Notamacropus eugenii: one gene and its partners. The protein of the gene in region 2 interacts with the protein of the main gene of each other region in a biochemical or structural test. Links are inferred from orthologs where the notes say so. Each region holds a gene or a part of one and is shown on either strand. Other genes may lie near its edges. The genes, in order: FBXW2, SKP1, SUGT1 and CDKN1B.

Region 1 (7,447 bases), about 100 Mb from region 2:
CTGTCTTGGCTCAAAAATCTCCAGTTGTTACATTTTTAACCCTTAAAGTCAGAAAGAAAAACAAATTTCTATCTAATGCCAAAACAATCAGTCAATTCAATGGGGGAAAAAAATCTGTCTAATGTTTGGCACAATGTAAACAAAAGCTGACAGAATACTCTCCCCTACCTTGTCTTCTCACTACACTCATTTTTTCCCCCAGCTATTTAGGTATTCTACAGATTTGGCCCCTTATTTATTCCCACTTAAACTATCAGGGGGTAGTAAAGACACAACAGTACAAAAATACAGAGAGTTCTAAAACCTGAAGTAATTGCAGGCAATACTGGTCACACTAAATACCGCATTTGTTTCCGTAGTAGTACTAGTTATCTTGTCATTTTGTTTTATTTTGAAACAATAGTCAGGTTTACTTTTTCAAAAGCCACTAACATACACTATACTGTATGAAGCAATGGGATATGGCAGATAGTACTAGACTCAGAATCAGGAAACACCAATGAATTAGGCAACCTTGAGTGAGTCAGTTCCCCATCATGAGTTTTATTCTACTAACTGATAAAATAGAGAAAATGTCCATACTACCTACCTGGCTATAAGAATCAAATAAGATAATGTACCTAGAGTGCTTTGAAAGCCTAACACATCATATAAAGGTGAACTATTATTACATTATAAAAGCCTTGATTTATAATGGCTGGATACTTGTTTTAATTCCTGTTAAATACATTTTCTCAATGCCCTAGTAAAGAACTCCCAGGACTACATCATTTAAAATAATAAATCAGTGTTTCCTACTTAAAGCTAAATTAATTTGATCATGATCTCACTGAAGAGTACTAGGAGACACTAAACAATGAATAATTAAAATAGAGAATCACAAACTCATCCTGACCTTGACAATAAAATGCCTCAACTAAAAAATCTTGAGTAACTTCCTACTGTCTGGCCAAAGAAGTTTAAACTTCTACTTGACATTTAAGCACCCTGCCATCTTTATCAGTTTACCCTCCTTTATGCACTCTAAGTTCCAACCAAAGTGACCCCTGAATAAGACTTGTGTTTCCCTTTCCTGTGCCTCTGCTCATGCTGCTCACTATGATTCCCTAGCCCACTTCTCCTTTAGCAACTCATACTAAAAGTCCAATTCAAATGCCACTCTTTCATGACTTGACCCCCTTGTTGTTAACAACCTTCTCCTCAAATGTAACATTTTTTGCAACTTTCTAATGCATTTTTTCTGGGCCTACGATTTCACTTGTATAGGGAACTTCCAAAGAAGAAATTCCTCAACAAATGTAGAATGGCATTTGTTCTGCAATTTGTAATCTTAGAGAGTAGCCTAAGGCACTGAGAAAGAAAGTAGCCTGCCTAGGACCACAGCCAGTATGTATCACAGGCAGGCTCTGAACCCAGGGCTTCTGGATTTCAAACATGATAGCTCTCTAGCCACTACACCAAGCTGCCTCTCACTGAAAGTATTACCAATTCCCTCTGAAACTTTTGTTGTATATTACAGATACCTATATTAGTATCCACACCACAAGGGCAGAGACAAGTTCTTACCTAAGCTTTGTATCTCTCCAAACACCTAACATAATGCTCTCTTGATCTACCTGAAGCTCAGGCTGTAAGGAAAAGTGTTTTGCAAACCTTAAGGTATTATTTATATAAATGGGAAATACCATTATTACATCTTCTACAATACATGCCACCTTCTACATGGAATCTCTCCTGTTTTCCCCAACTGCTAGGGCCTCTCTCTACCCCACCTCAAATGATTTTACATATACTTCAATTTCGTTTCACCTGACAAGTACACAAGGGGAGGGACTGTTATTTTCTTTCTTTGTATCCTTCCCTAGCACAGTGTCTGGCATAATAGGTGAATAAATGCTAGTTAAATGACTCAATGTTTTAAAGTATTTCAAAATCATTAAGATAGTTGACTGAACATATGGATTAGGCTGACATCAATAGAAGCAAAACTTCCTAGGAATTAGGTCAAAAGGAATTAGTGCTGCTGCCTTAGGAGAAAATGAATTAACTCTTGGAGTTAATTGGTGGAGGTTGTTAAACATACGCAACACGGTATAGCGCACCCAATTTGAGTCTGGATTCAAATAATCACACTTCCAAATAACACCTGAATGACCTCCAATATGTCACAATTACGTTCCTTCACATGTAATATGAAAATAATACTACTCATGCTAGTTTACTAGTAAGATTATAATGCAAATATATCTCAGTGATAAAGGTTTGCTATAACTGCAACAGACATAGAAGAACTGGGTGGAACTGAAACAGACAGGTGTCCCCTTTCTACTGCAAGGATCTATGCATGTGATGGTCAAAGATACACTTCAGAAATAACCATATACATGTGTAAAACCTCATGACAGTATGGTGTAGTCAGGGAGCAGCACTCAGGTTCAAATCCTATTAACAACTACTCACCATATAAACACAGGCAAGTTATTTAATTTCTGTGCCTAACACGAGGGGAATGCCGTGAGGCTCAAATATAAACAGATCTATGTGTACAATGATTGCCGAACTTCAAGGAGCGATGCAAACGTCCATTATTACCGGTAGTGTTACGGTCTTGTAAAGAGCACTGGACTGAAAGGAAAGGACCTCCGCTCGCTAGCTGCATGATCTTGGGCACAACCTGGCTTTGGCTTCTTAACCAGGGCTGTGAATTTGAGCAAGTCAATCGTTTCATTTCTCTGAATTTCTATTCCATCATCCGCAGGATGGGCTAGTACCGGTCCTACCTACATCACAAGATTCGAGTGAGCTCTGGGGGCCTCCAAATGCTTTACAAAGACGGGCTACGGTAGCTATTGCGAAGATCTGTGAAGAGGGCTCCGCTGCGGGGCGGATGCGGTTATCGGGGCTCAGAGGCTGGGCTGGCTCAAACAGCTGGACGGGAGGAAAAGGCGGGGCAGCAGGGAAGCAGAGGAGGCCTCCCTCGGACACCGCCCCCCCGTCACGTACGCTCCCTTCCCCCCCACAAGCCCCACGCGCGCGGCTTCCCGCCCCGGGCACTGACCTGAGGGCGCGCTCCGGGACCCGGGGCGTCGGGACGGACACACGCCGCCTGGGCGCCCGCGGGCCGGCGGAGCCTCGCAGCGGCCGGGCACCTTCGGCAGCCATGGCGCCTGGACAGGGAAACACAAAGACACACACAGTGGGTCAGACGGGCACGAGCTCTTCTTCTCCCCTCCTCCGGCTGCCCCCGCCGTCCCAGCCCGCGGAGCCCCCGCCCCACACACCAACTCGCGGCCGCCGCTCGGGTTCCGGAGGCTCGGAGGGGAGCGGCTTCCGGCGCCACAGCACGTCATCTCCGCGCGCCCAGCCTGTCCCCTGGGAACTGACGAGTTAAGTCGGGGAAGGGCGAGGAGAGGAAAGACACTAACCGGAAGTACCTTCGAGAGCATTTCCGACCTCCACTTCTAGAGGAGCATGAAGGAAGCATGCGTAGTGGTCCCCAAAATGGAGACGCTGGCCGAGCGGCACCAGGCTCCAGGGCTGGAGTAGATAGCAAGTGTGTGTAAAAGCCGGCGGAAATGCGAACAAGAAACGTAGTAAAGCCCTGTAGACAGAAAGATGTCAGGATGGGCCTTTAAAAGGGCTTTTCCTCTCACTGCCACAGTGCCTGCCTACTTGTCAACTGGGTGTTCGTGTGACTTCTCCAAGTACTTGATTCATTATTTAATTTCGTTCTCAATTTTTACTCTTTACCTTGCTTATATCATCCACTTTTAGCACTCCCTTTGTTATCCATGGATCCTGGCTTCCTAACCATTTGAAAACTGAAGCAGTTAAATTCCTATGCCTTAAGTCCCAGTGCCTTGAATGCAGGTCACAACTTTCACAACATTTTCAATTCATTTTATTGAACTCACTTTACAGATGAGGCCGTGTCTCCGAGACGTGGGGTGACTCGCTCAACGTCATATATTTAGCATGTACTGAACTCCGGATCTCTTCTTGACTCTATTTCACTATACATGGCTTCCACAAAATGTGTTTTGATGGCTCTTTCATTATGCTACCTCCACCTCCACCATCTAACTAGGAGAATCAAAGAGTTATAGTCGGGGCGGGTATGCTATGAACTTTTTAAAAACCATTAATTTAGCCAATCCTAAAGCATGGGATCATACAGTTAGGAGGGGGCCCAATGGCCATCCCTTCCTTTTACAGATGAGGAAACTGAGGTCCAAGTTAAGGGAGAGCTCAAGGTCACACTGGTGAGAGGCAGAATTTGAAACTAGGTCCTCTGACTCTAGAGCCAATAGTTGTTATCAGACCCAGCCTATAATGGACTCATTTAAATCCTTTAAATTCACATATCCAGGCCTACATCCTACAAAGCCCTTAACTTTTTTTTTTTGTCACATAATGACTTCATAAGATCATCTAATCCAACCATACTTGCTAAATATTAGAAAATTGCTAAATATTAGAAAAACTGTTGTTCAAGTAAACAAGTTATTGCTTACAAGGAAAAATATAACCCCAGGGATCATGTCCAACGCTTTATTAACTATTTCTGAACATCAGGAAACATTTCTTTTTTAATGATTCCCTACAGTCTTAGGGACTAATGAATTAGGCAGACTGTTCTAATACTCTGGGTTTTCTCCAACTGCAACATGATCAGGGTGTTTGTGTGTGAGCATGAGCATTTCTGTGCATCCATCAAGTAAGCTGGAACAAAGGATCAAGCTGATTAGAGAGAAACCTTATCCTAAAAGTTCCAGACAAAGTGCTTCCACTTCAGTTGCAAATGGACTCATCTATATATTTGAACCCAAATCCATATTTGGACTAAAGTGCTTTGAGAATTCCAAATTCAATCACGGATAAAATGCAGGTAAAACTTTTTTTTTTAAGTTTAAGATACTTGTTACCTTTCTTGTGAGAGGCAGAGATTCAGAATTCTATGTTACCTAGCTTCTTCCTCTAGCACCCTAGGTTAAATAGTTTTAAAGAATGTCTGCATTTTCATTTGCTGTAGGCAAACTAGGAAAATGAGAAATTCAGATCATAATGATCAATAAGAGGACCCCAGAGGATGGTAGATTTGGAGGCTGAATCTTAGAGTCTATAGAGTTCAACTCTCTCATTTTACAAATGAATAGGATTTTTTTTCTCTATTCAATTATATGAAAAGGAAGGTGGAAAGCCTTATTATAAGATACTGCCAGTGAAAATGGGTTGTTTCCCTTCTCCAACTCCAACCTATTTCCATCAGAGCTCCACTGATGCTATATACTATAGAGCAAGCAGGATATAGCAGTCTCTTGTATGTTGTATTTTTGTGTGTATTTCTTAGCTAAAAACTACTACGCATTCCTCTTTGGACAAGAAACCATGCAGATCTAATTTGGTCCCAATGAGCACTTGAGTACTTTCATAAATGTAATATATATTGGAATATTTCAGTTACATATATATCATTTACATATGAATATTAATAAAACTTCAGAAACCAGGGTCAGAACTACATAAGCATTTCAGATTATGCCACAACTAACAAAAAACTGCTTGGCAACTGGAAAAATGGGAGAAACAAATTTCATGTAAATGGTAATATCAAAGGCTAATAACTCAAATGAGACATAGCAAATAATTCGTTTCTACTCCAAATATATTTCCACTAATTTCAGGTGAGGGCAGACAACTACCTTTATGTTCTCTTCTTATTTAGGTGACATTCTGTAGGCTTCGGACTCACCAATGGTGCTTCATTTTATTTAATGTCATCTTGTTTCATGCTCTGCTTTTTGGAGCTGACTTTGTGGAAGAATACTTTCTACAATCATTACCATATGTAGATGTCAGAGTTCTTGAGATTAAGGACAAAGCCAGAAAATTAAACGTGGAGCCCTTAAGATATAACCTCTCAAAATTTTATATCTTGAGCCAGGAGGAGGCATGCAAGGGAGAAGATATCTTTTTACTCTCTCTTATCTTCAGCAGTCCAGAAAATGGGTCAAGGAGGGATTTGATAAGGAAAACCTGGGCTAATGTGACTACTATTCGCGGACATCCTATCCTTACATTATTTGCCTTAGGAATGCCAGATCTGGGAACTTCTCAGCAAGACATCAACATGGAGTCTAATAAATACAGAGATATTATTGAAGGATTTTTCCTGGACAGTTCTGGGAACCAAACACTAAAGACCATCATGATGATGCAGTGGGCTGTAACTTTCTGCCCAAATGCCATGTTCATCCTCAAGGTCAATGAAGAGATGTTTGTCAATCTCCCTAGCCTGGTAGACTATCTTCTCAACTTAAAAGACCACCTTGAAGAGATCTATGTGGGAAGGGTCATCCATCAGGATATGCCCAACAGAGATCCTCAAAGCCAGAATTTTGTTCCCATTAGTGAGTATCCAGAAAAGTACTACCCTGATTACTGCAGTGGAGAGGCCTTTATTGTGTCTCAGGATGTGGCCCGTATGATGTATGTGGTTTTCAAGGAAGCACCTTTGGCAATACCTGCTGATGTTTTTATAGGAATCTGTGCCAAGTACGCTGGCCTCATACCCATCCACAGTTCACGGTTTTCTGGAGAGAAGCACATCAGGTACAATCGATGCTGCTATAAGTTCATCTTCACATCCTCAGAAATGACAGGTGAAGAAATGCCACTTGAGTGGAGGGAAGTTAATGATGGGAAAGCATGCACCTTGCTTGAAACCTATTATGGATTGGTCTCCTGCAAACTTCTAACTTATCTTGATAGCTTTAAACACTTTAATATAGCACCTATAAAAAATGATGCAATATATTTTGCTGATTAAGATTTCGTTTTCCTATAGAAAATATATGCTTTACAATTCTCTTTCTCCTGTCATAGTAAACATTCCTCCCGTTGTATTTTCCCCAAAAGGCTTAGCTATAAAAGCCTTTGCAATTATATATTTAAGCAAGAGAAAGAAATTTCTTAACCCTTTTATTCATGTTTCAAATACCAATTTTATAACAGTTCCTAAAGAATTTAATATAGCATAGAATCCTTTCTTCAATCAACTTGTCTTTTTAAAAGGGGAATGCATTAAATTTATTTCTGTGAAGAACTGCCTCTTCTCGTTCTTTATAATTGTAAAGCTTCTCAATAATGTTGAAAGAAAGTCATACATATGTTAATGGAACTAGCTCTGTATTTTTATATCTCTGACTTGAAATACAAAAAAAAAATTAAATAGAATTATTGTAAAATACTCAATGCTGTGTGCATACAGCAAATGGGTCCATAAGCTAAAAAAAATCATGGATCCATCATCTAGTCTCAAAGAATTATATGTAACTACTACATAGAAATCTTAAATTTATTCTTATAGGTGTACAAGTTCCTTGAGTTAGCACATTTACCTCCTATGCTGGTAACTTTTAGCAGAAATTTTTCAACTAAGTCCAAA
Region 2 (7,719 bases):
TGAATTAGGATCGAGAAGGCTAGATATTTTGAGACAGACAGACAGGCAGATACACACACACACACAACATGTTCTTCAAACATACTTTAAAATGTTTGTGCATACCTGATGAATGAATGTATAAGCGTTACTGGGACTCTTATTTTTTGTTTTTATTTCCCCAAAATACTTTCACCTCCCCAACTGCAAAGGGAAATAGCTAATTTTAGGTCTGAACATATCAACTACCTCCTTCCCAAACCAATCCCCAATTAAATTCAGTAGCTCCCTATTAACTCCCATGAACAAATTAAATCCTCAGTTTGACATCTTAAAAGTTCTTCATAACTTGACCCTTTCCTACTTCCTGAGTTATTTTCCTCACTCCAGTACAATCCAGTTACACTGGTTTACTCGTTGCAAATGCCTTGCACACAAGATGTTCACTAAGTTAATATCAGTTAAATGCACTTCAGTATTACCTTTTACATTACTGTGTGTACGTGTTGGTTCTGCCTACTTTTACACAAGGTTTATTTATCCAAGAATTACTCTGGGATTCATTCTCTGAAAAAGATTCTAGCTTTAAGATTAGAAAAAAATATTTTAAAGCATCTATGAAGTTTTACATTAAATGAAAATGATCTGTAAAATTTAAAATGTATGCTATAGACTTTATTAAATGTACTGCACGTTTTACAGCTGGAAAAAATGTTACAGCTGATTCAAATATGGTGAAAGTAAGCCTTAAAATTGAATGTTGGGAGCTGAAAATGAAAGATGGGAATTGATGACCCACAGTTCCTCTACATCAAATGTTATTGCAGTGAAAATTTTTTTTTAAGTAGCAGGAAAACAGCAATATATCAAAATATTTGTGTAGAAAAAAATGCAAATTTTGAAAAGATTTCATTCCTGGACATAAAAGCAGAAGTTTGAATTCAACGTACCAAAGCTTATCCTCTTATCATACCATACCACCAAACTAACTTGAAACCAGCCCTGCCCATGGAACTGAGGCCAGTTCCACTGCAGCAGATTTACAAATACCAACAACTTCAAAATTACAGAGACTCCATTGGTTAAATAAGGCTATTTTAGAATAAGCTGCCTGCCCAAAAGGCAGATAAATCTAGAGGCTTTAAAATATTAGCTTGCATAATGCATACACACAAGTGACATTAAGAGTTTTTTGGCTAAGATGTCATGGACTACAATAAGCCTGACATTTTATTAGAATGTTAAGTTCCCTCATTCATCCAAGATCAAAAAAGTCATTAACAAATTTGCTTGGTCACAAACTTCAGACCTATCTGGTTACTCTGGAATCTTTAAGATCTTAAATAGCACTGAAGGGATGTTAATCCAGAATTCAAAGAAATTTAGTCATCAGCCCTGGAAACAGCTCCACACAACGCTGCACTCCCCTCCCCCCAAAAGCCCTATTTCCAGAGAAGTGAATCTTCTGAAAAGTAGCCACCTAAACGTTAACGACTACAAATCTGAGTTCCTAAAATCTATGAATACTATTGGTTATATTTATTCCCTTCCTGATTAAATGGGTATGCATTTCTATTACTAAGATGAAGTACATTTATAAATGTCTGAGGTCTTAATATTTCTAACGCTTCCAACTTAAACTGCAAAATGATTTACGACAAATCCTGTCCATGAGGCTTACTGAAAACGTTCATGAAAAAAGCAGAAACATTTTGCCTCCAGGAACACGGAAAGTGTCTTTTTTCCCCTCAAGTCTTGCCATGCAGAAGGGATCCTTTCCACTTGCTTCTTTTGCCACAGATCAGGAAGGCCGTATTTTTAATGCACTGCAGAGCTGGCTCCTACCCCACTGTCCTCGGAGGGAGCTCTAGGGTCCAGCAGCTCCGGGGCTTGAACGCGCCTCGCCAACAATCCACGCCGCCCGCCCCCCGGCCCCGGCCCCGGCCCCGGCCCGGGCTCTCCTGCAGCCGCGGCCTCCCGGCCCTCCGAAGCCACACTCCGCCTAGGACAACGACCACTCTCCCGTCGCGGGCAGGCCGGGGCGGCTGGCAGGTGGCTCCCGAGATAGCGCAGTCATGTTGTTTACCCAGCGTTCGCAGCAGAGCGAACAAACAAAACGCACAAATGCCTTTACAATCCAGGGCGCTCCTACCGACCGGACCAATTTTACAAGAGGAAAAACCGAGACCCTCCCCCTGCACAGCAGGTGAATAAGGAAGTCTGGGGCTTCAACAGAACGGGAATAAGGGCCCCCCCCCTTCTAAGGACTGGGCCGGATTACCCAGCTCCGACTACCCACAACAAATCTGCTGAAGACCCCCGCGAGAGGGGTATAAAGGTAGACCCTTATGGCAAGGGGAGCACAGGAGGTGCCCCATCATTGAGGAGAACTAGCTCGGGCTCGGAAGGAGCCGGCGAGGGAGGTGCAGACGACCCTGGGGAAGGGGGGAGGGCCGAGGGTCGCACGCTGGGCGAAGCTGAAAAGTAGTTCAGGCTCCCCGTGGGAGCGGGCAGGGAGGCAGGCAGACTACGGGGGGCCGGAGAGGGGCCGTGAACGGGGCGCGGGCCTCGGGGGACCCCGGCGGCAGGTATACAGGCTGACCGAGTCAAGGCGCCTAGAAGCGGGACGGCCTGTGGCGTGTGAAGCTAACGTCGGAGCTCGAGCGGCCTGGAACAAGGGAGGGGAACAGGGTCAGGGCTCCCGCCTGCTCTGGCGGCCGGAAACGCCGAGAGAACGGGCAGGGGATGGGGGGCTGGCGAGCTCCGAAGGGAGCGGGCGAGGCCTAGGCCGCCGCCACACAGCAACAACGGGGCCGCGCCCCGCGGCTCCTCCTCCACCCTGCCTTCCCCAGTGCCGAGACCACTTACGGTTCCGGATGCCCGGGGACCCCGGCGGGCAAGCTGGCGGAGCCGAGAAGACCCGGTGGGCTAAGGGACAGGCGATGAGGGGAGGGAAGGCCCCGAAGCAGCGCGGAGCACCAAGACCACTACAGAAGCAGCGCCAGTGGTGGCGGCCTTTATAAGGGCGGACAGAGTGGAGCCAAGGACCCCAGGCCTGGTGACGTCACAGAGCACGCTGGGATGTCCGAGGACATTGCCTGACAGGGGAACGAGCACACACCCACCGAAAGGGGCCTTCTCTAGCCTCCTCTCTTCTGGCACTCTCGGAGGAGCTTTTGTCATTTCCACCCGTCCTGAGAGGGGCAGGCCTGGAGGCACAGGCAGGCTGGCTCGTTGAAGCTCCTGCAGCCTGGGGGCGGGGTCCTTCAGGCAGAGGCTGTCTTCAGCAGAATGCTCTGGAGCTGGGGAAGTTCATGGAGTCTACACCGTGGGTCTTTGTGGGGGACGAGCAGCTCCTGCTTATCTCTGAATAGCCAGAGAGCCAGTGAGGGACCCAGTGAAGGACAGCTGCAGGTCATTTTAAGGAATTTAACTTCTTGGGAGATGGGTGGAGAAACAGGAAAATTAAAGAACCCCCGATTTCTCTGATAGTTTACATTTTTGGACAGAAAACCTTTATTTTACAACGTGCTTTCCTCAAAATAATCCTGATAATTCAGAAAACATTATCCTCATTTGACAGCTAAGGAAAGCCAAACTGTTCCTGCCCTTTTCTATTTTCTTACTCGGTGACCTCATCAGCTGCCTTGAAATCTAATGATCATTTCTGTGCTGATGCCCTTTCCATATACTTAAGTTACCTATTAGACACCCCCAACTGAGCGCCCCCCCAAGGGCCTCAAACTGGACATGGTTAGAGGAAGGAAGCTGTGGGGCGGTAGAGTTGTCATTTTAGTGCTGGAGTTCAGATTTTTGCACCACCCTATGCAAAGCTGAACAGGTCACTTCCTGGGCCTCAGTTTCCTGTTCTGTAAAATGAGGTTTGAACTCATAACTTCCAACGATTTCTCTCTTTCCCCCCCAAAATTCTTCTGGGCTACACTTTTTTCTTTGGAGGGCATCACATCACTGCCTTTCCAGTCAGCCAGGCCTGGGGTGCCACCATCCTTTATTCATTCAAGTTTGCAACAACTTATTTATCAACTTCTCACTCCCCCTTATCACATATATCCAATCAGTTGTCAAGTCTTGTCGATTCTATTTCCATAATATCTCTCCTATTCTGCCCCTCCTTTGCTCTATTCACCTGTCCTCTTTAGTTCAGGTCCTTCACATCTTGCCTGGACTGTCCAGTAAACAGTCATGCCTCAAATCCATCTACTTTCCACATAGTTGTCAAAGTGATTTTCTTAAAGCACAGATAACCATGTCCCTCCCCCCTTTTTAGTAAAACCGCAACAGCTATTATTTATATATATATGTATACATATATATGTATATATATGTACCCAACTTTAACCAAATTTGCCTTACCATTGACTCTTGTGTCTCCCATCTCTGTGGCTTTGCATAGGCTTCCTAAACCAAAAATACAAAGCCATTTAGAACCTTTACTTACTCTTAAAACTGAATCTAGTCTTCAGTCTCTCCCTCTCTAGTGGTTCATTTCCTACTGCTCATGTCTCTTCTATCCTGAAAAAAATCCTCAATTGATCTTCCATCTATGCTACTGCTATATCTCTTCTGCCCACTGTAGTAGCAAACTCCTTGGAAAAGTTGTCCACAGTAGGTGTCATTTTTTCACATGAGAAACTCAGGTCTTTGAGAACGTTGAGTCTTAAGAACTTTGATCAGTGCAATGACTGGTCATGTCTCTAAAAGACGTATGAAGAAGCATGCTACCCACCACCTGATATAGAAGCGATAGACAAAAGGTACAGAGACATATTTTTGGATGACTGCTGTGCAGATTAATTTTGTTTGACTATGCTTACTTGTTATAAGTATCTTTTTTCCTGTTGCTTTTTAATTGAGGAGGGTGAGTTAGAAGGGAAGGAGAGGTCATTTATAAGCACCTACTGTGTGCCAGGCACTATGCTAAGTACTTTTACAAACATATTACTTCATTTGATCCTCACAACAATCTTTTGAGGTAGGTTACCTTTACGTTATTATCCTCCTTTTACAATTGAGAAAACTGAGGCAGAGATTAAATTACTTGCCCAGAGTAAAACAGTGAGTGTCTAAGGCTAGATTTGAACTCTTTTCCTAACTCCAGGACCAGCATTCTAACCACTACACCATCTAGAAGTTTAGAAGGACAAAGAAGGTGGATAGTTTGGGTAGAACATATGTGTGTGTGTGTATGTGTGTGTATGCACACACATACATACACACAATATATGTATGTATACATATATATATTTGATAAGCAAGCAGTATGAAATAGAGATTGATGGTTGCAAGTAGAATCCTCTTTTGTGTTCTTCTGTGTATATGGAAATGTTCTCTCACTCTCTCTTTCCCCCTCCCTGCCTCTGTTTCTGTTTAGGTTCAAAATAAAAGTAAAATGGGAAGCCTCTATAAAATTTCCTTTCTCCTGGTTAGTCTTAGTCCATGGTTCCACAACTGATAAAATGGATCACTTAAAGCTAGAGGTTCAAAATAAACTATCTCACTAATAAAAAACACATTACGCGCCCTCCCCCCCGCCCCAGTCTCCAAGACCATTAAAACTCTGCTCACAGGAAGGCAAAAAGTTCCAGGCAAGGAGACAAAAAGTAATAAGCAAAGAAGTTCCCTGAAGTCTAAAAACTCGGGCCAGAGTGGTAGCTTGAACTTTATATTCTCCCTGCCCAAAGATCCCCCAGCTGGGTCCCAGATCAGTGGGGGGAGGGGAGGTAGAGAAGTGGGGCAGTGCAATTCATACTGGCCCAGCTCTTTTTCATAGCTTCATCACTCATAACTGCCCTAGCAGGTTTTGTGGGAACATGTGGGATGTCAAAGCACTGCACTTCTTCCAGCGTCAGAGCCTGCAACACTCCTCACTTCAGCTCTGTGCTTATGTATGTATGTATATGTATATATACACACACATACACAATAATAGTAACATTATAGCCTGTATAACATATCACATAAATAACATGACATTCTAGCCTATGAGAGATATATATGCTATAAATTTTATACAGATATATATCCTATAAGATATATAGATATGTACTTATATATATTACAGGTTATAGCATATATATCTTACAGGCTAGAATGTATCTTATAGACTTAGATGTATCTAGCCATCTCTACAGATAAGTCTATCTATAGAGATGGCTAGATACATCTACATCCATACATATATCTCATTATCTCATAGGCTCTCATATTTTTTTTGTTGTTGTTCAGTCATGTGTGACTCTTCATGACCCCATTTGGGGTTTTCTTGGCAAAGATACTGGAGTGGCATGCCATTTCCTTCTCCAGCTCATTTCACAGATGAAGAAACTGAGACAAACAGGATTAGGTGACTTACCCAAGGTCACACAGCTAGTGAGTGTCTGAGGCCAGAGAGATGAGTCTTCCTGACTCCTGGGCCAGCAGTCCATCCACTGCATCATCTTGCCCCAACTATAATATTACCTGATTGTTCAGGTATGGAAGGGTCCCTTAGACCTAGTCCAACTCAAATTGAAAATCTATAATTACTTCTATTTTAGCTTCTGAATATATCTTGGCCTTTCTGCCCTTGAGGTGCAGGTAAGGATTGTTTTTAGTGAGGAACTGGAAAGATTTGGTGGGGTTTTTTGGTTTTGGTTTGTTTTTTTTTTTTTAGCCACATCCAGGGGCTCCATTTGCAGGCCTTGGCCTGGTAGGGCCATGGAGGCTCACTCTCTCCCCTTCTGCTGTTCCCAATTTCAGCCACCAGATGGTGCCAGATTCAATTCACCTTCAATTGAATAGGAAATAAAGTTTGAGGGAAGCCTTTGCATTTCTTTTCTGGAGGACCCCAAAGAACCATTTATCAACATGTGTAGGGATATCATCCTACACATGCCTATTTCTCAACAGAAAGAGCTTGATTAATCAATGAAGCTACCATCACATTTTCATCAATGACTTCAACAATTGGTATGCTTATCAAACTTGTAGGTCAAACAAATCTGCAAGAATAGTCGATAAACTTATTAAGCATCTACTGTGTGCTAGCTCTGCCACCATGCTAAGCCTGGGGGAGACAAAAAGAGGCAAAAGACAGTCCCTGCCTTCAAGGAGCTCAAAATCCAACAGGGGAGACAATAAGGACAAATATGGACACATGATCTATATATGTTGGGCCAAATCTAATGAGATGAAGTTTAAACTATTATATTCTTATACTAATTTTGTATATACTTACATATGTGCTTTGTCTCATCCCATTAGAATGTAAATTCAGGAGTAAGAACTGTTTCACTTTTGACCCCAATGCACAGGGTCTAGTACATAGTAGGTGTTTAATAAATGCTTACTGATGTATTACACTTGGCTGTTAAAAAAATCATCACTAATGCAATATTAGGGAGGTATGGCTGGATAGCAGTTCATCTGAAAAGAAAATCTGGGAGCTTTGGGTGGTTTACAAACTCAATATGGATCAAGTGTGACAAGACAGCAAAAAAACCAAACTCATTTGCTCTTAGGCTGCATTGAGCATCCAGAACAAGGGAGGTGATAGTCCCAACATACCCTGTTCAGAGCACAGCTGGAATTATGTTTATATATATTTAGAAAGGACACTGATGAACTGGAGAACATCCAGGCAGACAACAAGGAGAGTTGTTGGGCCTTATGAGGATGGGTTAAAGGAAATGGAAATGCTAGCCTGGAAAAGATAATACTGACAGTTATCATGTTTATCAA
Region 3 (7,523 bases), on a different chromosome or scaffold from region 2:
GAAGGAACATGCATTTTATATTATGAAGGCTTTCTTTTGAGATCTTTGTCTTAATTGCTACACTTTTATCTTTTTTTTAAAATCCCCTTTCTGATTCCATGTTATGATAGTTTTTATTTCCTATGTAAATATGTTAGTTAAATGTAAGGCAGCAGTGAGTTTATATAGAAACTATGTTCATTCCACTTGTATAAAGTCTATCTCATGAATTTTTAAAATTGATTTCAGTTGCTCATCTGCTTCCCACTGTTAACATTGTGTGCCACAAAGAATTGGTATGTAAAATGTAAAGAAAAAAAGAGAAACTCAGTCTTCAATCTGGGCTGCTTTGCAAGTAGTACCTGCAGGGGCATTCCAGGGCTCCGCTAGAGTGCTTTAGTCTGGACTTCAACTCTGTGTGACCTTGGGCACATCAATTAACCATTCTTTGTTTCAATTTCTTCATCTGGGGAATTAGGTGTTCTTTAAAGCTGTGGCCGGTTGGCAAATGATGTAATTTCCACACTCCCATAGGACGAAAAAATTGCTATTATCTGTTAACATGTTTTCAAGTTGAACTCTAGCTCTAAATATTCTGATTTCAATAGTCTCATGCTAAACATTTTTATTACACCATTTAAAACGTCAAGTTACTGTAAATAAATTATGCCTGAGGAAAAAATCCAATGTCACAGTAGTTCTTGATCAGCATTTTTTGCCAAATATGTATGTTTTACCTGGAGATTTCTTTAACTCCTTAGACTACTGAGTGGCATTTAGTAAATGATGGCCATGGTTTACTAAATGATATATACTAGTGGTCTGAATAAACAGGGATACCGTTCCTAAGTGCCTACTTAATTTTTATTGAAAAAATTTAGTTTTGGGTCAATCTGGCTCACTTGTCAATAGCTTATAAAAACTTTTCTGTTCCTGATTTTTATGTAATGGGAATGGGGGGTGGGGGGTGGGAATTTTATACATATATATGTGTATATACATACACGTGCACATGCTGACACACATAAATGCATACATATCCAGGCTTTTGATGGAGTAGTTTTAGAATACTTTTTCAGCTGTAAATATTGTACATTTAATTTCACAAGAAAAAAATAAAGTTTTCAGCAAATTTATTTCCTAGTATAGAGATTTTTATAGATGAAAAATCATTGGTTAGAGGCCTAATGTTATGTATTCATATTATTACAGAGTGAATTTGTATTTAAAGACAAATTTTTGAAATTCCTAAATCTTTTGTATTTTAATTGGTTTATTATTGAATAAATAATGTGAAAAGTTCAAGTATTCTTGTTTGTTTTTAGGGCAGGATATATAGTTTTTAATTTACATTGGAGAATGTTTCTAATATAAAATTTATACCCAGTAAGTTATTAAGCAGAGTACCTTGTTAACATACCAAATAAAAAGGATTACATATCTCATACAATGATTACAATAGGTACTGAAATCAATGATTCTGGATAGTGAAATACAAGTGTCTTTTATAATGATGCAAAATACCTTTTTACCTAACAGTAAGTAGTCTGCTGTTTAAGGCCATCTGTTTGCCAGTCTGCTTGCTCATCTTCATCTCCATTATTTCTTTCAGCAAAATAATATTCCATCACATCCATAATTTTTTTTAGCCATTTCCCAACTGGACACTCTCTCAGATTCCAACTCTTGAGCATCCATAGGTTAAAATGTATTTTTTTTCTTGTTTAGTTACTGGTTTTATTTCAGAATTGTCTGATTAACACTACGATAAACATCAGGCACGTTGAAGGATTAGTAGAAGAACCATTAGATTTACTAAAAGATGGACTGCTTTGACAGGCAGCCTGAGCATGCGGGGTAAAAAGACCTAGCAATTATGAAGGTTTTTAAGAATAACTCTTTGCTCCTACGGGCCTGCCTTGCAGCCAAAATGAAATAAAACTGGGCACTAGTGCTGCGAGCACAGGACCGAGAGACAAACAGGGCTAAGGAGAGCGGAATCTCCCTTGGGATTCACACCTTACCCCAAATACACAGTGAAACGGACCCAACCGAAAACAATGTGCATTTACTTCTGTTGACAATTCCTTGGGAAGTCTGGGCTCACGTGATCGCTAAGGCTCCACGTGAAACTCAGCAGGCGGCTGACGGTCGTTTCCACCCCACGTCCCCAAAAGTTCTGGGCAAGTTTAATCGCGTCGTAAGGCGCCCTCCAAACGGCCTCGTTCATTTTGGGCAATTAAAGATTAAACTCTCACTTGGACTCTGGAGATCCCCTGTACCTCCACGCCACCAGTAACGGGGTGTGTGCCCGCGGTGGGGGATGGGGAGAAAAGACCACGCAAGCCCACGCTTCTCGCCACCCTCCAGGCACACCGGCCCATCTTAGGATCGACTCGGAGCGGGAAGGGATCGTAAAACTGTCCCCCCGATTTAGGGATAAAATCCAGCCAAGGAAGAAACAGAAACGGGCCTCGACCCGAGGATCTCTGCCTCCCAAGCAAGATTCAGATCGCCCTCCCCTGCTGCTTTACTTTTTTTTTGTTTCCTTTGCCCCCATTAAAATGCGAAGGATCGGCCATCGGCCAATCGCTGCTCCGACGTCTCTGGAAAGTCGGAGACAGAAGAAAGCCGGGGTAAGAAACGGAAACTGGACCTCGGAGAAGACTAGCAGGGAAAGGGCGCAGAGGAAACCGGAAGCTTCGTGCTTAATACCCGGAAGTCAAAACTCCCACCGCCCTCTACTCCGCCAGGTCCCGGAGGTACAGTCGTTCTCGGGCCTGTTGCTCGGGAAAACGCGAGATCGTGGAATGGTGACGCGACACGCCAGACGACGTCCTGGCGCGTTCTATGCGCCATGACGTAAGGATGGCGGCTGTGAGGCCGGAAGTAGCGCGTGTCCTCTGATAACAGCACGTTGTGCTGAAGGCTGCACTTCACGTGTGTGCATGTGTGCAGGTACCTGCCTTCCTGCCTGCTACTTTGACTGCTTGTGTTTGTGTCCGCCAGTCAGCCTGCTTCTCTGTCTAAGGGTTTGCCGGCTTGTCTATTTCTCTGCCTCCTTGCCCATCCACCGTTTGTATCTCTGTCTCTATTCCCCCCTCCGCCCCTCCCTCCCTCCCGAGCCCCTCCCTCCCTCCCGAGCCCCTCCCTCCCCTCGCGAGCCCCTCCCTCCCCTCGCGAGCCCCTCCCTCCCTCACGAGCCCCTCCCTCCCTCCCTCACGAGCCCCTCCCTCCCCTCACGGGCCCCTCCCTCCCCTTACGAGCCAGCAGCGTGACCCTCGGCAAACCCGCGTCTGTGTCAGTTTCCTCAGTTGTTAAATAGGAGTCATAAAAACACCTACCTTCCAGGGTTGTTGTGAGGATCAAATGAGATGTTTGTAAAGCGCTTGTCACAGAACGACTACGAAATAAATGCTTGTTCCCTCCTTCCCTTTGGTCTTTCTGTTGAGCTTTAGGGGTGCTGGGACCCCCGTGATTTCCACACCCAGTCCTCAAAGCCTCGCCTCCATCCTCTCCACGTCTGTCTCTTAGAATTATTTCCCTTCAAGGCTTAGCTAAGTCCCCGTCCATAAAAGGCCTTTTCCGAACCCCGGTAGCCACTCAACTGGTATTGGTCACTTTCCTGCAAGGGTCTGCTTGCTCCACTCCTCCAAAATACTCATTTGTGCATATTTTACATTTGCTCCTGCTGTGTGCTATTTCCTCAGAGAACATATAAGGAAGGTCCTTGTAGGCAACGAGCACAAAGTTTGGCACATAGTAGGTTTCAAATGTCTACTGATTAACTTGTCTTGCCCAAAGTAGGATACAGACCTATGTCTTCCTGACTCCACGCCCACACTCTTCACAGTATACCATCAGTTCTTACAGGCACAATAAAATGGCATCACAGCTTTTCAGCCTTTCCCATTCTTCAGGAACTCAATATTAACAGGGTTTTTTGTTTTGTTTTGTTTTTGCCAGCACGAAAAGTATCGCTACCGATATTTTGGTGCCTTTTTCCTGTCTGACCTCCTGGCGTAGCGGGATCAAAGGATGTGTGTACTTTCGCCCTTATTTAAGCATCAATTCAAGTTACTACCGATTGCGCCAATCCACAGCGGCCACAATCACGGATTAGTGTGGCTGTTTTGTCTCCTCCCCCTCCCTGCATCTCGCGTCTGCCGAAACTTGGAAGTTTTAATCTTCAGCTCTCCTCCTAAGAGTAATAATTTGGAATGTTTTTTTCATACGGCTGTTGATTTATTCCGGCTACGGTTTATAGCCTTTGACTTCTGATCTATGGGAGAGGCCTACTAGACTTGTATACTCACCACAGTTAAAGGAGGGACTTTCCGAAAATCGCGGGGGAGGGGAGAGAGCTAGGCTGCCGTAGCGGAGCGGAGGGGGCGGAGCTAGGAGGGAGGCGGGGCGGTGCCGGGGAGAGGAGGAGGCCGCCGCGTGGGTAGCCCCGGGGGTTGCCTTGGTAACACGGCGGGAGGCGGGGCTCCCGCGGGGCCAGTCCTCCGGCTTCCCGTCAGTCCCCGCGCCTGCTCCTCCGTTCCCCTCTTCCCCTCACGCTAGCTCGGCTCCTCCGGACGGAAGCTCGCAGGGTGTTTCTCCAGAAGTTTCCCCCCTGGGCGGCGGCGGAGACAGCGCGAATTATGGCGGCGGCGGGACCCGCAACGGCGTCGGGGTGAGTGGCTCCCGGCCCCGGGGGGTGGTTCTGGTCCCCTTCCCCCTCTTCTCCTGTGCTCTCCACTCCGCTCACCGCCGCTGACGTGATTGTCTCCCCGGCAGGTTGTTCCCGCCCCTGTCGGACGGGCAGATCGACGAGGACCCCCAGGCGGCCGCCGAGGTGAGAGAAGCCCCCTCCGGCCCTCCCCGCGGGGGGCTTCAGACCCCCCCCCCCCGCTGACAGGTGTCAGGAGAAAGTCCTGTCCCACGGCGGAGTCGGGGGGCCCCCGGCCCCTGCCCTGCGCCCTGGACCCCGCGATTGTATCTTGTGCGGTGCTCGTCCGCTTTGTGAGAGTCCTCCCCTACCTTTCTAATGGAGCGGAGTCCCCACCGACGGGACAGCCGGGGTTCCCGTTTGTGGTTCAGATAACCTGTAGGTGGGATCTCTGCCAAGTGTCCTGGCGTGGGGAGGACGTGGGTTGGTGTGAAGTCTGCGCTCTGTGCGAGTCACCGGCGGGCTCCGAGTGTCACGTTTCCTCCCAGGTTACTGTTGCTCAGGGATCCAGACCTCCCGTTGCTAGTGTTGGGGCTTGTGTAAATCGCTTTTCTGGGACGTTGCCTTCCTCTGTAAAACTGGGAGGAAAGAACTTTGTGAAGCTGCAAGTACTCAGGGAATTATGGGTTATGATATCTTTTTCGGTGGAAAACGTTATATTTTTTCCCATTTCATGTAAAAATAATTTTTAACATTTTTTTTTTAATTTTAGTTTTCAATTCTCTCCTTCCCTTTTCCATTCCTTGAGAAAGCAAGTAATTTCTTATAGATTATACGTGTGTTAGGCAGGCAAAACATTTTTCCATGTTAGCTATGTTGTGAAACAGATCACACCAAAAAACCCAAGAAAAATAAAGTAAAAAAAGGATGCTTTGATCTACATTCAGATTCCATAGGTTCTTTGTGGAGGTGGATTGTCTAGGATCATTATGGTGCTGAGAATAGTTAAGTCATTCACAGTGGATCATCGCATAATATTGCTGTTACTGTGTGCAATGTTCTTTTGGTTCTCACTTTACTTTTCATCAGTTCATGTACGTCTCAGGTTTTTCACAACCGTGCTGCTCCTCATTTCTGAGAGCATAATAGTATTCCATCACAATCATGTATTACAACTTGTTCAGCCATTCCCCAGTCGATGGGCACCTTTTCAATTTCCAGTTCTTTGCCACCACAAAAAGAGCTGCTGTAAATATTTTTGTACCTATAGGTTCTTTCTCCCCTCTTTTTCTTTTAATCTCAATGGGATATAGACCTAGTAATGCTGTTGCTGGGTCAAAAGGTATGTATGCTATTTCTCAGCCAATACCAGAATGTTTTAAATGATTACTACTTTGTAATCCAATTTGAGATCTGCTACTGCTAGGCTACCTTCACTTATTTTTTCATTGATTCCCTTGATAATATTTAATCTTTTGTTCTCCCAGATAAATTTTGTCATTTTTTTATCTCTGTAAAGTAATTTTTTTGTAGGTTGATTGGTATGGCACTTTAATTGGTATGGCAAATTAATTTAGGCAGGATTGCTATTTTTATCATATTCACTTGGTCTACCCATGAGCAATTAATATTTCTCCAATTTTTGAGATCTGACTTTATTTGTGTGTTTTGTAGGTTATTATTTTTAGTATTAAGTTGTACATAAATGAAGGCTTTATGTTACTATAAGTAATTACTGTGATTACAGTTTTGTAGTGCTTCAAGGTTTATGATAAAGTACTTTTTGCGGTAATGGTTTTACAAGAAAATAGAGTAAGTTTGATTAAATATTAGATTCAACATTTGTCTGTTTAAAAAAATTTGACTAGATGTGAATATTGTGCACTGAAATCCCTGATATATGTATGTGCTTGATTTTTTCAGTGGTTGATATTCAGTGGAATAAACTGAAAGTACTTTATGAAACCAACTCTTTATGCAGTAAGTTTTTAATTTTTGTTCTGAAAAGCCTGGAAGATTTCATAGGAAGTATGCTTTTATACTGTCATAAACACTAGAAATTCCTTTAGATACAGTAGCTCATTTTATGTTTGGTGATTGAGGTAAAATTCTTATGAATGTTTACCATAGAATAGTCTGCAAATGTAAATCTAAATCACAGAATCTCAGATGTAGAAAGGAGCTCAGAGGTTGTCTAGTCCCTCTGGTCCCTGAACATACTTGACTGCATCCTATAATAGTGAAGTATTTTTTTTCTCTTGGAAGATCTCTGGTCCTGAAGCACTCACTGTCTTCTAAAGCAGCTTATTCTACTCTTGTTCAGCTTTAAATGTTAAGAAGTTTTCCCTTACATCTAGCCAAATCTCTCTTTGTAACTTCGTGTTGCTCCTGGTTTTTTTCCTTTTGGGGCCATACTGAACAAGTCTGAATGCTCTTCCATGAGAAAGACATGCAGCTATTAATATGGCTCCATAAGTCTTCATTTTTAACTGACAAAGTTTCTGGACCTTTCACCAGTTGGTATGTCTTTCCCTGTTATGTCTTTAAAATGTGACATTGAATACTGATTTCAGTATTCCAGTTATACTTCTTATCAGACCAAGATATAGCAAGATGTAATTTGCTTTATTTAGGACATTGTGCTAATATTAATGGAATCTAAGATTTTTTTGTTTTTTTTTGGCAGCCAAGTCACATTCTTGACACATAAAATGTAAGCCCTTAGAGAGCATGGATTGTTTAGTTTTTTTCCTATGTATCACCAACTCCTACCATGATTCCTGGCACTTAGTAGGAGCTTAATACATTTTTATTGAATGAATGAATTGACAGTGTCCACAGAAAAGTAAAAGTTTTTACACATAAACTATTGCTTTAACTATGCCTTATT
Region 4 (7,607 bases), on a different chromosome or scaffold from region 2:
ATGGCATAGTGGGCCTTGGAGTCATGAAGACCAGGGTTTAAGTTCTGATTTGAAAGTCACTGAAAGTCTTAGTGCCCCAGGCAACTTTTTTTTCTTAAGATCATAAGTTACAGAGATATATTGTTGATCTACATTGGTAGAGGAGAGTACTAGGAATTAATCACATAGTTAAGTGGTCAGTACAAAAAAAATTAAGAAGATGCAAAATGAATATGGTATAGGTAAACTGTTGTAGCCCTTTAAGCTAGTTCATCCAGCTGAAAAGACCTTTGGCAATATTTTATGGCTATCTCTTAAGCTAATAGGGTAAAAAATTTTAAAGCTTATCCTTGTTTCTTGTGATGAATATATGTGTACAGTTGCTTTTTTTGTTTGTTTGTTTTAAGTTTGCCAGTGCTCTGAGTAAACATTTCTAAAGATTCTTTGAATTTGAGAAGTCTTGCTTAGCTGAATAAGTCAAGACCAAAACTTTATGAGGGTCTGACATAAAGATATATGAAAGAGACCTGGCAGCACTGCAGATATTGACATCTTCAGGTGAATTAGTCAACAATTTCATCCAATTTCCTCCACTGTATAGAGAGGTTCTATAAAGCCATCTTTCAACAAGCCCCTGCAAGTGGGCATTTTGTATTGTATGGAGGTTATATACATTTAATTTACATAAAAAAACTGGAGCGACTTTTCAATTTAAGAAATAAAAACATGCCCTCACACACTTTTAAAGTGTCCTCTATATTGTAGTTTCCATCGACATTCCATAAATGCTTATTGTGCACCTACCAGGTGGCAGCCACTGATAAAGAATATTATAGGGAGAAATGAGACTCAGTTTCTCCTAGTAGACTAGTAGAATTAGCTGGCCTGAAGAATTAAGGCCCCCTAAATAGAGCTTTGAGGACTGAATTATTCCATCTATCTAAACTGATCAAATTCAGCATATTATTGAAATCTCCACTTCCCTAGAGCTAAGTAGACAGCCTTAGCCAGCCCTGATACTTATTATTCCTTTCCCCTTGAAATACCCAAATAGTGAGTTGTTCTAGCACAATTTGCATATACATGCTGACATGTTCCAGATTGCTTAAGGGGGACAGAATTCATTAACTTTTACTTTGCAGCACTTCAGAGCTGTGGAAAAACTTTGTGAGTAACTTTTAATGATTCTGCGTGTTCTTCTGCATAAACATGTTTCCCTCACCCTCCAAAAACCCAGTAGAAGTGGTGTGACACTAGAAGGATCAAAATAAATGAGTTGCACATGCCACTTTATCCTATTTCTAAACTCTTCTGTGACTCACTGGAGCTCCGTTTATTCTCAAATGAAAAGATGAAACCATTTGTTTCCCCTTCTTCCCTCTGGGTCCACACAATGCCTTTATTTGAAACCACTGAAAAATGATAAAACCTTCAAACTCCTCTGCTGGGTCACAGAACAACCACAGCCCTATTTAGGGCTGAAAAAAATCTCATCTTCCAATCAAGTTTTTGTGAAGGCTCATAAGAGGATGATCTCCCTTTCACCAGGAACTACCTCCAGGATAAGTCTTCATCCAGGATGCTATCTTTCACTCTGGAGTAACTGCTTAATTTGTCTCAAGAAAAGATCTGCCTGATGGAGAAAACTGCATGAAACTCAACGACCCTTTCCCCTACTCCTTATTCTTTCAACTTCACAAAATGTGTATGAGGGGGCGGAAGGGGGCCTGAAATACCCTTAACAAACTAGCAAACTTCTTATCCATAGGCAACTAATAAATAAAATGTGTTGAGGAGTTTGCAGAGACTACCAGTTCCAGCAGTGCAGTTTGGTTTCATTTCTGAACCCTAGCTAAGCAACCCACCTAAGTAGTTTACGTTTGATGTCTTCTGAGACTGGGCTTCTTGGGCGTCTGCTCCACTGAACTAGCATTGGGAGAAGTGTCTGAGACCTCTTCTTCAGTAATGTTGGCTCTTTTGTTTTGAGGTGAGACATCTAGCAGGGGAAATTGTGGAGAGGAGGAGGGGAAGACAAGCAACAGATTTTATTAAAAGCATTAGCTAACAAAAGTTAGCCGGGGGAAGGGAGGGGGGAAATACTACCACCACCCACAATCCTGGAGCAATCTGATTGTATTAAAATCCTGAAAATATTGTTGCTATTAACAAAGACCTGCTCCCAAGACCCCGGTACCTATCGAGGGATAACATAGCGCAATCTTTCCCAAGGGATAATTAGGAACATCCTAGCTGCAAGATAATAGTTTGGGTGACTAACATACCTTATGATGGCAGACTGGGGGAGGGGACAGGTGTTTTAGGAAGGCGGTGGGTTTTAAACGTTAAGTTTACAGATAAATTTTTACACCGACTGGCAGGAAACACAACTAGTAGCCTTAACTCAAAAGAAATGATAACTAGTTAGATGAGAGCACCGGAGCGTAAGGTTAATAGCTTCAGCTACCGATGGAAAAGCCAAGAACTGAGCTGGTGTTCTCTAGACACAACTTCGGGGACGGACCTCCAGTAAAGCCAAGGAGTGGCCCAGACAGACCGAGTAAACAAGGGAGGGGTTTGTTTTATTTTAATTTTAAAGGAGCGATTACCATCCGTGGCTGGTCGTTTCCTCGTCTCAGTGCACTGGTCTGCCAAACTCGTCTGGCTTTCGGATGCACCCTCAGTCTTTTGATCTCTTAAGTGGGTGTCCTCTGAGATTCCCTGAGAAGCAATAAAAAACCCCGCTTGGCGCACTCCGTTGAGATCACCGCTCTCCTGGCCGGGCCCCTGGCATCTCCCTTTGGGGTTCCGCGGGGGCCTGAAATAAAACTCGGGCAAACTGTCTTTCTCCACAGGTTGCCACTCATAACTCCCCTCCAGGGGTTTGTGATTCCGAAAGTCGAAGTTCCACTTGCGCTGGCAGTCCTCCTCGATGTCCCTGCAATGCTTCTTTAAGTCCTGCGTTAAATCTTCATGGTTCACCGGGCCGAAGAGGTTTCGGCAAGCTGAAGGCTTGGGGTACTCCGCCGGCCTGCCTTCCATCCGCTCCAGGGTCGGGCTCCCGTCCGAAATACGCACGTTTGACATCGTCCTCCCTCGTCTCCACTCAACTTTTAAAAACGACAACAACAAAAAAATCCGAACACGTAGCCCCTTTTATATAGGTCCCGCGATTCCCTTTCGGGGCCAAGGGAAACAAACAACCACCAATAATTACACAAGCTTTAGGATCAGTGTTGGGTTTGGGGGAGGGGGCAGGGGGAAGCCCGGGAGAGCCAGCAGAAAAGTCTCCCAGCAGATCAAGTGTAAGGGAGAGAGGGAGGGAGGGACGTAGGGAGGGAGAGGGAGGGGGGGAAAGGAGAGAAAGGGAGGGGAGGGGAGGGGAGGGGGGAATTGGAAAAGCTAGTCCAAGACCCAGCCGGTAAGAGCCTGTGGGTTTCCCAAACCGAGCCGCGGAGGAAACAACAGAACAAAACCAAACAAAAACACCTGGCTGATCTCAAAAGTCGTGGTGTAGGAAGAGACTGGGAAAGGGAAGGAATATAAAAAGACACCCCAAAAAGCCGAGCACTTTTTTTTAGTTGCCCAATATGGCGGTGGAAGGGAGGCTGAAGAAGGAGAAAATGATTGACATTGCAAATCTATTTAAACAGAGAAGGGGAGCCATTGGCTGTGGCTTCGGGAGCCACCCCGCGGAGGCTGGTTCGCTGCGTTTAGGCGCTTTGCCTTAAGGTAGTCCGGGCGCAGTTCTGCCAGATACCTCTCGACGCTACCGAAATCGTGCTGGTTTGCAAAGCAGAGGAATGAGACTTGTGCGATCGCGAGGTATCGGGGGTGGGAGCTGGGGGGCGAGGGGGGTCTGGAGTAAGCAACGCTCTCAGGCTAGTCTTTGAGAAATTAAAAGTCAAAAATAAATAGCATAAATTGGCAGTTCACGGAGTTGGGCGGGCGCAGCTCTTCTCGTTTCGGATCCTGCTCTTCCTAGTCTCACCGGCGGGGGGAGGAAGGAGGCTGGTTCCATACAGTTTGCTTGGTACCTAAAAGATCTGCTCATCCTGCTCCGTGGTACCCCCGCCAGCTTGGGCTGCGAAGGTCAGAAAACCTAAAGGCTGTGAAAGTCGCCGGCCAGAATTGGAGGGAAGGGGAGGCGACGGGGCGCGGAACTTGGGGTGGTGAGCCGGCTTGGCGCTCAGGCTCAGCTGGAAAGCTCCGTAGCTTGTACCGACGTCTCCCTTCCAGAGCAGCCTGATAAGGAGCGGAGGGGCCAAGGGGTTAGGGCAGTAAACAGGAGTCAACTTTTCCCAGAAAAGTCAGGGGTAGCGAGCAGAGCTTGGATGACTAGAGTATTTAGAAGTGCATGTATAGGAAAAAGGAACAAAAGCCAGGAAACGACCTTAGATAAAAAGAGTCGAGTAAGAATCATCTGGAGCTAATCCCAGAATCAAAGGTTTTGCTGCTCTCCCTACTAGAGTCCAGGAAAAACGATGTTCTCATAAATGTAGAAACCTGTTTCTGTCTCTTTAAATTCTTCAACCGTTTGGCTGTAGCAATTTCTTCCACCTGAGACCAGCCACTAGCAAACAACATCCTCTCTTCCATCAACTGTTCCCTCATCTTTCTCTTTTCCCTATTCTCAGTATCACCGCCCCTCCCCCCTAACCCTCACTATCTGCAGCAGCTCACCCAGGATACAAATTTCAGATGCAAGTGAAGTGATAACCTGCAAATTACTTTAAGGTGCATATTATTCTCATTGGACGTGTCTTTTGGAATAATTATGAAACTTCTACTGCCATGTCAACTCATCTGAACTAGCGATGATTTGGATACTTTCCCAGTCTGTTACCCTCTGCAACACTGGAGCTAAGAATCAACATTTTTTCCCCAACAGTGCTCAGGAAGTTAAAACAGGAAAATGGAGGGGGGTAGGGGGAAGGTGGGACCGAGGCCAGATTTGATTACAAAGCAAGAGGTTTTGTATAAGTGCCTCCACTCCATATACAGATTTCTTCATATGGGCCAGTAGTGCATTTCAGTATTATTGGAGGCTGCCTTCCTTCAACTGTAGGGTAGTATCAGGTTTTAAGCCTGCTTTTGGAGGGTTTGATGTAAAACTTGTGGCCAGTCATAGGTGTGTCTGATGCTTGAATTTTTCCAATGATTTGACCCCGACTTTTCTTTCCTGAGGACATTGTTTGGCCTTTTTTTTCCTCTGGAGAGGGAGGTGGGAGGGAGCATGTGAGGGAGCATTTGCTCCCTCTAGCACAGAAAAGATTGGCTTATTTTGCATGGAGTACTGATTACTTCTTCGCTATAATGAGAGGTGGTTCTGTAGATGGCCTTCAAGATAACATCTTATGATTCTGAGGATTATAGATCAGCAGTTCAAGTAGAAAGGAAATGCCAAAGAAACAACGCAACACCCAAATAACAGGTGTAGGAGTCAGTGACAGAGGACAGGAGAAATTCTTGCCAATTTCTAAACATGCTTAATGTTTCCTTTTTTGTTGTTCTTATTCCATACTTGATGTACACCAACAAACCTCAACATTTCCTTATGCAAAGAAAAACAGAAAAAGAACATTGCTTATAAACCATGAGTCAAATATACATGGGTTGGGTCATCACCTTACTTCCAAAAGCTGTTCTGATTATGTGTCCTTCTAAACCTTCTGTTCTTTTCTTGTCCATATCAAATTATTGATTGACATTCTTGTCTTTCATTTTCGGAGAGCCCTGTTAACACTAGTCACTAGTCACTAGTCACTGCACTCCACATTCCCCTAAAAAAGAAATTAAAACCTTCCCTTGTAATACATTGGCCTAGTATAACAAAACAGATCCAACCAAAACAGATATTGAAGGTGTTTGCAAATGTTGTGTGCCTTTCTGTATCTCTAATCCATTCACCTCTCTGTCAAAAGGCAGAAGGCACATTTCATCCTCTGTCTTATGGAGTTATAGTTGGTCAAGTCCTTCAAAGTTGTTTTTCTTTATAATTTTATAGTTACCACCTAAATTGCTGTCCTCGTACTGCTTATTTTACTCTGCATCTGTTCATATCTCTTGGTAAGTTTCTCTGAATCCTTCCAGATCATCATTTCCTATGACTTGATAGCATTTATACTTATAAGGGATTTTTCTTCAACCATTCCTTCAACTGATGGGCTTCTAGTTCACTGCTACAAAAACAGTGCTGCTATGAGTATGTACATATGAATTCTTTTCATCTTTCTTTTATCTCTTCAGGATATATGTCTATTTGAAGTATTTCTGAGTCAAAGAGTATGCACAGTTTAGCGATAGATGTGGTTTTTAAAGAGAGTTTTCTACCCGTTTGTTGTCAAAGAAGAGTTCATTCTTTGTATGCAGAAAATCTTCAGAATCTACTGCCTTCACTGTCTCAAGGCCCACCTCTTCCTCTCCCTCTGTCTGTGTCTCAGAAACTTTTTGGTAGAGACTGGAAAGGTCAGGAGGATGGAGCTTGATAGTCTGGGCCAACCATGTCACCTACTGTTGCATGTGAATTAAAAAAAAAAACCTGAAGAAATCATCCAAGAAACCAAGGTAATTCTAATCTTTTGTCCTTGCTCCTTTTCTAAGGGTGGTAAATATATTTTAACTTTTACAATTTCTTTTAGTTTGTTTCTTTGGGAGATATTTTTAATAATGGTTGTATTCATAATATTTCTGCCCCTTCATTTCTGAAATTAGCATGTCTATTGTAGTTAGTCTCTAAAAGTTCAAACTAGGATCATTCCACCTTAAGAAATTCAAACAGCCTACAGAAAGGTTGCATCTTTGGGAGAACTCTATAAAATAGTGTTTTTTAAAGTCAAGGCACACACATCTGTGTGGCCAATATGAAGAGCCAAGGCGTCTGTTATAGAAACATAGGAGCATTTTAAAAATACTATGGACCTCCTAAGAAAAGGGACTCTGAAATGTTCAGAGTACTATTCTTCTCCCTAAAGAGGAAAAGGGAAAAAAGGAGAATACTTTGTAGGAAAACAGTCCAGAGTGACTTCCATGTGTCTCAGGGACTCTAGGTTCACATAAACCCAGGTCTGATGGGGAGGGGGTGCAGGGGGGGGGGGGGGGGGGAGGGTTGATCCCAAAGGAGCCATTATTGCTCTTTGCCTTCAGGCTGGAGTTTTTACTCTGGGAAAAATCTGAAGAAAGCTTAAGTGTAGCTCACTCAGTGTCTCCTCAAACGTAGGCAAGGGTCCCCTAGTCTTATATAGCATTTAATATGAAACACAGATATTGAATATGGGACAACCTTTATTTCACCCTCTACATAAAATTCTTAAAATGCAAAAGATTAACAGGAACCTAGGTACAGAAACATAAAGCTCTTAAGACACTTCTTAGATTGTCCCATGCCCCACAAGGTAAAGACAGTTCTGGGGAATCCTGAACAAAAGTACTCTCCATTGGCAGCCTTAGTGACAGACAGATGCCTGGAGTCCCTACTGCTGAGGAGGCTGAGATTACTGGATTCCTTGAGTTCAGGAGTACTGAACTGAATATGGCTAAGGCCAACTGAGCCTGATAACAGTATAGTGAGTCCCTGGGAACAAGGAACCAAAACACTGCCTGGGAAGGGGCAGATTAGCCCAAGTTGGAAA

Evidence for each region.
Region 1: the proteins of SKP1 (region 2) and FBXW2 form a complex in vitro, tested with the Homo sapiens proteins (2 studies listed by BioGRID). The link is inferred for Notamacropus eugenii from reciprocal best matches to the Homo sapiens genes SKP1 and FBXW2.
Region 3: the proteins of SKP1 (region 2) and SUGT1 form a complex in vitro, tested with the Homo sapiens proteins (2 studies listed by BioGRID and IntAct, with this or other methods). The link is inferred for Notamacropus eugenii from reciprocal best matches to the Homo sapiens genes SKP1 and SUGT1.
Region 4: the proteins of SKP1 (region 2) and CDKN1B interact in a test that uses a peptide from one of them, tested with the Homo sapiens proteins (2 studies listed by BioGRID). The link is inferred for Notamacropus eugenii from reciprocal best matches to the Homo sapiens genes SKP1 and CDKN1B.

The regions. Positions count from the first base shown.
Region 1 is NC_092872.1:441,489,399-441,496,845, forward strand, and holds the start of FBXW2 (F-box/WD repeat-containing protein 2), read right to left. Parts: upstream 3,383-7,447; 5' UTR 3,351-3,382; coding exon 3,282-3,350; intron 3,168-3,281; coding exon 3,059-3,167; intron 1-3,058. Other genes in the region: B3GALT9 (beta-1,3-galactosyltransferase 9), read left to right, coding at 4,883-4,888, 5,726-6,829. UniProt on the Homo sapiens protein: Substrate-recognition component of the SCF (SKP1-CUL1-F-box protein)-type E3 ubiquitin ligase complex.
Region 2 is NC_092872.1:341,051,867-341,059,585, reverse strand, and holds the start of SKP1 (S-phase kinase-associated protein 1), read right to left. Parts: upstream 3,219-7,719; 5' UTR 2,848-3,218; intron 1-2,847. UniProt on the Homo sapiens protein: Essential component of the SCF (SKP1-CUL1-F-box protein) ubiquitin ligase complex, which mediates the ubiquitination of proteins involved in cell cycle progression, signal transduction and transcription.
Region 3 is NC_092877.1:291,035,105-291,042,627, reverse strand, and holds the start of SUGT1 (protein SGT1 homolog), read left to right. Parts: upstream 1-4,372; 5' UTR 4,373-4,625; coding exon 4,626-4,657; intron 4,658-4,761; coding exon 4,762-4,819; intron 4,820-5,889; exon of another isoform or gene 5,890-5,954; coding exon of another isoform or gene 5,955-5,975; intron 5,976-6,556; exon of another isoform or gene 6,557-6,592; coding exon of another isoform or gene 6,593-6,613; intron 6,614-7,523. UniProt on the Homo sapiens protein: May play a role in ubiquitination and subsequent proteasomal degradation of target proteins.
Region 4 is NC_092874.1:198,276,245-198,283,851, forward strand, and holds the start of CDKN1B (cyclin-dependent kinase inhibitor 1B), read right to left. Parts: upstream 3,064-7,607; coding exon 2,586-3,063; exon of another isoform or gene 1,976-2,585; coding exon 1,854-1,975; 3' UTR 1,845-1,853; exon of another isoform or gene 1,528-1,844; intron 1-1,527. UniProt on the Homo sapiens protein: Important regulator of cell cycle progression. Inhibits the kinase activity of CDK2 bound to cyclin A, but has little inhibitory activity on CDK2 bound to SPDYA. Involved in G1 arrest. Potent inhibitor of cyclin E- and cyclin A-CDK2 complexes.